3 linked regions of the Macaca fascicularis genome follow. The protein of the gene in region 3 binds, or shares a complex with, the protein of the main gene of each other region. Links are inferred from orthologs where the notes say so. Each region holds a gene or a part of one and is shown on either strand. Other genes may lie near its edges.

Region 1 (3,756 bases), on a different chromosome or scaffold from region 3:
GATGGCACTTATGAAAGCTATTAGTTATTCTGATTGGCCAATTCTCCCTCATAAAGAAGCTGTAAGATTAATGCACAGGGTAATACCTAGTCTAACCCTACTAGATGACTATTAAGGCCTTTTTCAGTGGTAGTGTTCTGTAGATCTCTTTGATGGTTTTACAAAATGGTCCCTAAATTATTTGACACTCCTCACATTGAGGGTTGGGCTCTATAGATTCTCACCTTCAATCTGGGATCTGCGACTGCTCGACTAATAGAATGGAGCAGAAATGACACAGTGCCAATTTCTGGGCCCAGCCCTTAAGAAACTGGCAGCTTCCACTTTCTGTCTCTGGGGACATTCACTCTTGGATCCCCGCCACCATGCTGTGAGGAAGCCCAAACCACAAGTCTCCACAAGTCTCTGTGGAGAGACGCACGTGGAGAAAAACTAACACTCAACACCAAGCAAGTGAACTATCTTGGAAGTAGATCCTCTAGCCCCTGTTACATGGAGCAAAAACGAGCCGTCCCAGACAGGCTCTGCCCAAACTGCAGACTGATAAACAGAGTAAATGAGTGTTGTTGTTTTAAGCCACTACATTTTATAGTGATTTGTTTAGCTGCAACAGATAACCGGAACAGCATGGGATACAACGTGACCAGTGCTCCAACCTCACATTTCTACAATGTGCTGACTCTAGCAGTGCACTGAAGGACTCCAAGGCAGACCTTCCCTGAGGAGCCCCCAGTTTTTACTCACATGTCACAGGCAGTGGCCTTTGTCCCTCATCTCCTCTCCCACCCCCAATTTAGGATAAAGTCTCTGCCATGATAAAGATACTGAGACCCACTTTCTGTAAGGTCTGCTTCCTCATTGTTTGAATTTCTTGAGGTTTCACGGAGCCACACACTGGAACCTTCGTTCGTCTCTCCTGAGGCTCCTTCTTCGCCCTGGGTTGGAGGTCTGTAGCCGTGGGATGCCGGCTACAAGGGACAAGATAGAAGCAAACCACCTGATCCAGTAAACTGCTGTCCACTTCGGCTCCTCAATGGCCTCCAAGCCTAAAAGGGAGCACACAAGCCAAGCAAAGAGGGCAGGGAAGACGGAGAAGAAACCACCCGCGGGCCCTGGCTCTGGGTCCAGTTGTTCCATCACAAATCAAATCTGCCTGCACTAAGTGGATAGGTTCCTCTGCAAGGCCTTTCGGAATTCTGAGTCCTGTCTGTCAAACTCTACCCTCTCTCCTCCACATCCCCCACCTCTTCTTTCAGGAAGGAAATAGTTAAAAAAGACTCCTGCCCTTCGGGGCCTGGAAGGGGGCGGCAGCTTTGTGCTTTTTAGTGGTGGCTGTGTCCCAGGATAGCTGGAAGGTTAGGACGCTCTTGCGGTCCCAGAGTGGAGTGGAAGTTCTGGAGCTTTGGGAGGAGACGGGGAGGACAGACTGGAGGCGTGTTCCTCCGGAGTTTTCTTTTCCGTGCGAGCCCTCGCGCGCGCGTACAGTCATCCCGCTGGTCTGACGATTGTGGAGAGGAGGTGGAGAGGCTTCATCCATCCCACCCGGTCGTCGCGGGGAATTGGGGTCCCAGCGAGACCTCCCCCGGAGAAGCAGTGCCCAGGAAGTTTTCTGAAGCCGGGGTAGCTGTGCAGCCGGAGCCGCCGCCGCGCCGGAGCCCGGGACACCGGCCACCCTCCGCGCCACCCACCCTTGCCGGCTCCGGCTTCCTCTGGCCCAGGCGCCTCGCGGACCCGGCAGCTGTCTGCGCCCGCCGAGCTCCACGGTTGGTTGCAAGTCCTTCTTATCGGGACTAGGACTGGGACGGGTGCGGGGATGGCGGATACACTGCGTGGGCCCCTGGGTCGGGGGAAGACGAGAACTGGGAACGTTCTGGCCCGAACTCCCTGCAGCTTGGGCGACCCGTCGCAGCAGGGGCTGGCACCCACCTGCCCCAGGGCGCGTGGGGAGGCGGGCGCCTTCTGTGAGGGGTGCGGTCCGGGAACGTGTAGGGTTCGGGGAACTTCACCTCCCCACGTGTAGGATTTAGGATTCGGAGTTTTAGGAAGAGGAAGCCCAATGGTTTTCCCTGGGTGAACCCTTTTCCCCAGGCATGCAAGAACTTTGAGGAACACCGAGCTCTGTGGCTTGCTCCAGCGCCTACTTGTGAAGTTGGTTCCACAGCCTTTTCTTACTCGCTTGCTTTTCCTCCCCCACATCTGGGTCTGGGTATGCCAAGGGTAGCCAAGGGCACTCGGTGTGAGGGACTGAGGTGTTTGGGAAAACCCCCAGTGTAGCTAGTTTTGGAAATCTGCCTGTGAAGGTCTGGGTGTTTTGTTCTGTGCTCGCCTTTAAAGGACACTTGTTGCTTCGCACGTGCAGAAAACAAGAGCTGCTTCTAGATAATCACCCTCTGTTTACATCATCCTAATGGCTTTCCCCTGATAGAGTTGGGGGTGGGAGGCACGTTAAAGTCAGGCGTTGTCTCTAAGGAGAGTTGCTCATTTCTTAACCGGAGAGCAAACCCACAGAAAACTTGTAAAAAGTGCCTAGTTTCCTTGTTTTTTCCCCCACCTGTAGTTGTCTATGTGTTCGCTGATTGAGAAACACCTTGGCAGTCATTTCTGTAAATTGAATGCTCTAAACTCATGCCATTTTGATAGGGTCTGAATTTCCAAATTACCAATTACAGGTGAACTTTGATCCTGAAAGTCTCATATGTTAAATGGTTAAAATGTAAGCGTAAGGATTCAGTCCTCTTCCTTAATAATAGTTTTTGCACTCCCCAAACTCTCAGACCCCAAACAGGAAGAATGCTGAATCTGTAGACCATGCCCTTCAGGTCTGAACCTGAGATGCTTCACTAGCGCTGTGACTGATTATGACTGATGATTCAAAGCACAGCCTGACTCAGATTCCTGGAAATGAACTACGAGCCCACCTTGGAAGAACCTGCAGTTGATGGGCTTCTTTCATTTGATTTTGTACTTTCACCCAATGATAATATGACATCCACATGCCTTTGCCAAGTATCCCTTCGTTTTGCAGCTTACCATGTGTGGAGAGCTGACAGAGAAGTCATCAGAAATGATTTCTGTGGTGGTGTCATTGTTGGAAGAGGAAGGAAGGGGGTTTTAATGATAGCTGGCTCGTGCCTTAAGAACCCACAGCGTTGGCCTTACTTCCTGCCATAATCTAACCAAGCAGACCAGCATGCTAAGGTTCAAAGCACCACGGGACCTCTGATGAGTAGAGCAGTACCCACCGTAGCCAGGTCTTCACAGGTCAGTTCCCAGCCGACTGGAACTGGCAGAAAGCCATTCCATTTCTGGAAAAGGCCTTCTCTCTCTCATTTTTAAGAAAGCTGTTATTGAAGGTTCTGTTTCACTTGGGAAGCTGGAAGACATTAGTCACTAAACAGCACAAGATATGAAAGTATTTCTTCTCCCCCTGTCTCTGTGATCCAAAGAGGAGGATGACAAGAAGCTTTTCTCTTGGAGTCCTGGTCTTCCCTTTGGAATAGAAATGGTGTCATTTCATAGGTCTGTCAATTTTTGGCCAGATACTCACTCCAGATTATAAGAAGCAGGAAAAAACTGCAAACTGTTTATAATTAAGTCTAATCAGAGCTGAAAATTACATGGCCTGCCTCTAACCTTGAAAAATTGATATTTTTCCCATTTAATCAGAGTGAGTCAAGTCCTATAAGCAAAATTACGTGTCTTGCCATTTCTTGGCTTTGAAACCTTGACCTAAATACTTCTTCAAGACTCCGGTTT
Region 2 (3,656 bases), on a different chromosome or scaffold from region 3:
TCGCTATAAACTGTATTCCTTTGGCCATATGTAAGCTATCAATACTAAAAGGTGTTTGAACATACATCCACATTAGCAGTGGATAATAAGGGAGAAAATAGGTTAAAATCTTTTATAAATCTTCTGAGCTGTAACATTCATGTTAACAATAATTTTGTCTGTTGCTATATTAAAGTTCTTAATACTAGGAAACATGTTTTGAAGTTAAATAATAGCACCTTTTTCTATCTTGGTTTTGAGTATATAAAGAAATTATTATTGTTTCTTACTTATCAGTATGTTAAAATTTTGAATCAAACATTTTTTTAAAAAGCCACTGAATGCAATTTTATTATAAATAATGCAAGTATGCTTTTTGTGTGCAGTTTCAAAATTTGGTAAGATAATTACAGAACATGATACTGACATGGAGAAGGAAAGGGTATCAGGATATAAAAATTCAGTACATGGTAATAAAAATAATCTAAAATTTAAATAGAAATAAAAATATATTAATAAACTGAAAATATTAGTGATTCAAAGTTAATTTAAAATTGCAAGTCTAAAATGTCTTCTATGATAACAGGCCTCTGAAAAAATGATTGGGATGAAATTAAAAAACAAGTTTGTGGGTGATTTATAAATAGAATCCACATGGCATGTGAATTAATTATTATTGCTCTTTCTTTCTGGCCACATTGTTGGGTTTTGGTTTACTGCACCATCACATTCGATATTGACAGAAAACAACATTACTAGCTTATTTCCAACATGTGGCCCAGTTTACTAAAAGAAAAAAAAAGTAAAAATTTGGGCATATTTTAAGACCGAGTTAAAGCTCTTGGGCCCAATTTATTTCTAAAGTCACTCTGAGAACATTGCACTGTGTTTTGCTGGAACAAAATCAGGACCTTTTGCATTGGTGTGACGAGGCAATGACGAATGTTAGGCTAAGAATGGGAATCTGTCCCCATGAGTTTCCTCTCACCCCACCTCATTTCCTCTGTCTTCCGTTTTCTCTTGTACATACTTTCACACACATCTCATCCCAAGCTATTCTAAGGCACTTTGCTTAGAAGATTTAAAAATTAGGCAGGAACGCACAAAGCTAAGAGGTTCTTACAGTCTCAAAAAGCAGTTTTGCCTCTAAGTGAAAGAAAAGCACCACGTCAAGCACACTTTTCTATTGGCTATTTACAAAAATAATACAAAAATTAGTAATAAGCTTTACAGGTAGCCGTTAAATGTACTAATCTGTATGATTTTGAAAAATAGTGTTTTAACTACAGCATTATACATACGCTAGAAACCATTTTAACTACAGCATGGGTGAGAGAGGGTGCTACCTGCCCCCTTGTCATGTGGACACCGCACCAGGCAGTTCACAGTCTCTATTATGAGGTCACTGGCATCTCTCCATTGTAAAGCTATGAACACAGGGCCTGCCCTCGTTTAATCGTCTACATGCAGTGTATGTAGCTAAATATTTATAGATGACAAAACCAAACAGAGTTTAAGCTACAATAGTGAAAGAAGAAGATTTTAATAATCCTGAAAAATTTGTAGATAGTATTTTCTTCACAGGCTATGTGAATGGCAGATTCAAAGAAATCTTTTGGGGTAGCCTTTCAAACATTCTATTTCTCTTTGTGAGGTTTGATCTTATCTGAATGTAAAGGGTGTAATAATTTTCTTTTAAAAAGTATTATATTTTAGATTTGGCTCACACATGTGCCAGTTTATTACATGCTGCTTGTTTGTAACATGTTGGTTACATATTGCAGAATGCTGAGGTTTGGGCTTCTAGTGAAAGGAGTGTAATGATTTTCAAAAACAGCCTTGCTCTTTCAGTTACTCCCTCCTGATCATTTAAATGTTTCTAGTGTCCAAAAAATACAACTAAACTGCTCTCTCATTTGCATCTAATTACAGTCTGATCAATAGTGTGATAATATTAATTAAAAAGTTGTTTTAAAGGATTTTAAAATTTCAAATTGAGTAATTTAAGCTTCATTTAAAAGTTCTGTTTTACAGTGACTTATTCTTCCTTTGTATCAGATTCACATTGATTTAAAAATAAATCTCTTAAATAGAAATTCCGAGTGAGCTCATCTTAAGCCTAAGGGTTGTGTGAATATCCTGGAAGTTATTAAGAGCTATGTTGAAGTGCTAACCGTAAAAAAGTAAGTGCTTTCACAACGAGGCTTTCTTAATTCCCACTGATTTTCTTTCCATGCTGTAAACAGCTCATAAAATGTCATATGTAGCTATGAGTGTTAAAATAATTACACTTAATATTTTAATAGTGTGCTGTGCAAATACATAGTTTTTTGTTTTGTTTTGACAAATGTTTCATTTTGTTTTAATGACTTCGGTCCAATATAAAGAAAATGAAATACAGTGAATAGTTCTTCTTTCAAGATGAGCTGTATTTATTACTGGAACGGAAGTTGTCATATCCGTGATCATTAGCTTTGAACTTTAAGCACGACTGCTTTTCCTCCAAGGACTGTTTTTCTTCAAATGACTGGCACCAGCAGCATAAGCATGACTGTACAAAACAAAGTAACTCATTATATGTTAACATCAGTCACCTTTCTCAACTCTTCCTCCTCTCCAGGGTTCTGACTTTCTTTGCATAATTAGGAGTTCTTGGGCCCTGTCTTTCGGTGCTCTTTTATTTTCCCTCTTAAAAGAATATACTCACAGAATTAGCATATGATAATTTTTGACTAAAACATGCAGAGAAGAAAAAAACTACATAGTTAAGATTTCTCATCAAGAGAAAGCCACTTTTAATTGATACTTACTCTTGGTTATTTGATAAATATTCTTAATATTTGATAAACATATAATTCAAGACTTTTCCCCATGAAAACAGAAATATGTGCACATACATGAAATAAATAAATTATACACATGTATATGTGCATGTGCTTGAGAATGTGAGTATATTTTAGTGAGACTGTACTATATGTATACTCCATAACCTTGTAGATACTTTCACACACATCTCATCCCAAGTTATTCTAAGCCACTTTGCTGAGGAGATTTAACCTGCTTTTTCTCACTTGACAGTGACATAAATATCTTTTCATGTCAATTAATTTAATACTGCTTTCTTATTTTTTCAGCCATGTATTCTCATGTCTCTTTTCAATATTGTTAAACAATAAGGTTATATAGTACAAAAGCATCTCAGTTTTCTTCATCCAATTTTTTTCTTGAAATTTTTTAAATATAAAATTTTGTTCATTCTGTTTGTCTTCTGTTCATTCTATATGTAAAAGAAAATGGGAAGTCCACGATTTTATATTCTATAAAATGAAGGTGTTGATACTGACGGAAGTTCTCTTCCAGCTCTAAAATTTGAGTTATGAGTGGGCAAAGAATGATATAGGCTGACTTAGTGTTTACACGGGAGCTACGTTCTCAGCTTTCCAGTAATGAAATACCAATGACAAATGGATGATTTTCGTATTAGGGGAGGGGATATTTTATTTCATGTTAGATTGTTGAAGGAGTGAATGAATAGAAGGATGATAAAATGCAAGTAGCTGAAGAAGGAATTTTATGTATTTCACATTGAACAGCACATCACTGTTATACAAAAAAGGTAGAAAGAGGTAAAACCTAAACTATTTTTTTGTTTACCTTATTATTCTCATAGTCCATGT
Region 3 (2,332 bases):
GGCAGATGACCTAGAATCAGTACCTGGTGTCTCTACCTCCATGGGCATATGGCCAGTCCTAGGCTATCACGAAGAAGCAATGGTACTCAATGTTCCTTAAAAAACAAACTCCTTAATGTGAGAAAATAAAAAGCCATTGGAAACCTCTACTTGCTCTGAGCAGGCCATTTTCTAAACGCAACTCTGGTGTGTAACTTTGTATAATTAGGTATGTTTTGGGGGGTTGTCTTGCCATTACTTCCTTCAGTCCATTACTACGGAGAAAGCATCTCTCACCACACCATCAGCTTAAACTGTTGAATCCTGCCTAATAGCCTGAGCCAAGTTAATGGATGAAGTCCCTGGAGAGTTTTTAGGTGAAGGGGAAGCAGGAGGCTGCTACCCAAGAGAAGACAGAGGTATTAAAGCTGCTTTTTTGTTTTGTGTTTTTACCTCAATGCAATGTAAAATCAACATTTAAGAGGTAGGTAAAATTCTTTCTATAATTAGCTCAGACTGTAATATCCTTTTAATTGTCACTTTTCTACAAAACCATCTTTAACCATTTGCCTTTATAATTCTTAATCACTTTGGCCCACTCCTTAGAAATTTCAGTAATGATTCAAAATCAGTACAGTAAGGAAAAAAAAATATTTATTTTCTAAAGTCATTACCTTGACAGGCAAAACAAAGCATGTTCTCAATTTCATTTAGAAATACATATTTTAAAAATACATAGACCAATATGGCCTGCCCAAACAGATATTTAACATGGTAAATATAAGGAATAAATTGTTTGAATATAAATATCTATAAAAAAATAAGTACGTCAAAATTCAATCCAACCTCTTTCATTAGCCGGTTATATAAAGGAAAATAATTTTACTGCTTTAAAGCATAACAAACACTTACTTTTCAATATATTTCATAAACCACCCTATGCCATTGTGTCTCCAAAAATCAAGGATAGGGAATCTCCTGATTTAATGATCTTTTTTTTTCTTATGGATCAGAGCTAGTAGATTACCATGAAAATATTATATCTACTGCTGACACATTAGACCAGACTTCTACGAGGCTAGGATTTAGTATGGGGGATGGAGAAAGGGGAAGCAGGGGTGGGAAGAGTTTGGGGAGGCAATAATTAAATGTGGGAATACTTCTGCCAGAGTGCAATATAGGTGAGGTAGACTCATATTCTTGAAACATATCCTGATTTACGGCAGTAACAGTTTCATTCAGTTTTGCGTTTTACAAATTTAAACAAAAGTCTTTTTTTTTTTTCTTTTTACTTGCATGTTTGTCTTTTGAGTATGTTTTCAATTTGTGCATTCCTTAGAAAATCTTTGCGTGGACTTTGGAGTTTCTCCCTGAAATGTGCCAGGCGCCTGAGTCAGACACAAACACTCCCTTAGGACCTTTGTCAGAAACTCCACCCTGGTGTGGAATCTCCTTCCTCTTTCTGGAGGATGCCACCCGAATTCGAATGTCACTGTGCATTTCTGCTTTCTGAGAGGTCCATGGTCATCCCCAGATGAAAGAAGAGACCAAAGCAGTTACCACCGATGCAAGCCAATGAAGACAGTTTGGGGGAACTCCTTAACCTTTCTTGGAATGTTTTGAACAAGGACGCTGGTCCTTTGCCAGTCAGGAACAAGCAGAGAGGATGCTCCTGCTCTGATCCCAGCCAGGGTGGAGAGTGCAGAATCGGCCACAGGGCTCTCCGTGGAGGCTATGGCTTCAGACAGGCCCCGAAGGTCTGTCACCAATGTGCTCGGTTGTGGGTCACATAATGCTCTCTGGAGGGCTTGGCTTTCAGCCTGGGATCATGAAAAGATGATTTGACACTGTTTCTCATGGTCTCCGTCCTAATAAAGCAAGATAAGAGAAAACAAATGTTATCTTTAAAAAATCACCCTTTGGCAAGATAAACATCTAAAATCAGAATCTGGCACAAACAAAACCTGAATCTGGCTGTGAACTTTCACCACCCACCGCAACTCTTTGATAAAACCTCAAGTGATATCTATTACCATTGTAAAAATAAAGCTGGCCCCTATGCTTAGAATGGGAGAGAGGGGTCATATGGTCAAGTCTAAGGGGAATTGGGCAGTAAATACAAGTTTTAAATAAACTAGAGGTGTTCTGGTTTCTTCTGTAGCCCCAACCCAACCTTCACCACAATGCAACCCTGCCTTGAGGAACTCAGCTAGGTTTTGAATAGTTATGGCCATCTTAATAAATTGACAGTGATTTAGTTGAGAAGAGAGAAAAAGAAAAAAGAAAAGAGGCATACAGTAGGCCCAGAGCAAATACTTTATGGCAATTATTTTAAAATATATATATACATATA

The links.
Region 1: the proteins of EDN1 (region 3) and EDNRA are in contact, whole or in part, in a cryo-EM structure (PDB 8HCQ), measured with the Homo sapiens proteins. The link is inferred for Macaca fascicularis from reciprocal best matches to the Homo sapiens genes EDN1 and EDNRA. Residues at the interface, in NP_001403492.1 of Homo sapiens: Cys53, Ser54, Leu58, Asp60, Lys61, Glu62, Cys63, Val64, Tyr65, Phe66, Cys67, His68, Leu69, Asp70, Ile71, Ile72, Trp73; in NP_001948.1 of Homo sapiens: Tyr68, Gln72, Thr73, Lys74, Tyr129, Asp133, Ile136, Asn137, Lys140, Leu141, Gly144, Arg145, Trp146, Gln165, Lys166, Val169, Glu220, Phe224, Val227, Phe229, Tyr231, His236, Lys237, Thr238, Cys239, Met240, Leu241, Asn242, Gln252, Lys255.
Region 2: the proteins of EDN1 (region 3) and EDNRB are in contact, whole or in part, in a cryo-EM structure (PDB 8XWP), measured with the Homo sapiens proteins. The link is inferred for Macaca fascicularis from reciprocal best matches to the Homo sapiens genes EDN1 and EDNRB. Residues at the interface, in NP_001403492.1 of Homo sapiens: Cys53, Ser54, Cys55, Ser56, Ser57, Leu58, Glu62, Cys63, Val64, Tyr65, Phe66, Cys67, His68, Leu69, Asp70, Ile71, Ile72, Trp73; in NP_000106.1 of Homo sapiens: Pro88, Pro89, Ile94, Glu95, Ile157, Asn158, Lys161, Glu165, Asp166, Trp167, Val177, Pro178, Gln181, Lys182, Val185, Phe240, Ile243, Met245, Tyr247, Leu252, Ile254, Leu256, Leu257, His258, Pro259, Lys270, Lys273, Leu277, Trp336, Leu339.

Annotation. Positions count from the first base shown.
Region 1 is NC_088379.1:152,369,614-152,373,369, forward strand, and holds the start of EDNRA (endothelin-1 receptor), read left to right. Parts: upstream 1-1,350; 5' UTR 1,351-1,763; intron 1,764-3,756. UniProt on the Homo sapiens protein: Receptor for endothelin-1. Mediates its action by association with G proteins that activate a phosphatidylinositol-calcium second messenger system. The rank order of binding affinities for ET-A is: ET1 > ET2 >> ET3.
Region 2 is NC_088391.1:68,911,492-68,915,147, forward strand, and holds part of EDNRB (endothelin receptor type B), read right to left. Parts: intron 2,531-3,656; coding exon 2,396-2,530; 3' UTR 1-2,395. UniProt on the Homo sapiens protein: Non-specific receptor for endothelin 1, 2, and 3. Mediates its action by association with G proteins that activate a phosphatidylinositol-calcium second messenger system.
Region 3 is NC_088378.1:160,651,144-160,653,475, forward strand, and holds the end of EDN1 (endothelin-1), read right to left. Parts: intron 1,848-2,332; coding exon 1,742-1,847; 3' UTR 612-1,741; downstream 1-611. UniProt on the Homo sapiens protein: Endothelins are endothelium-derived vasoconstrictor peptides. Probable ligand for G-protein coupled receptors EDNRA and EDNRB which activates PTK2B, BCAR1, BCAR3 and, GTPases RAP1 and RHOA cascade in glomerular mesangial cells.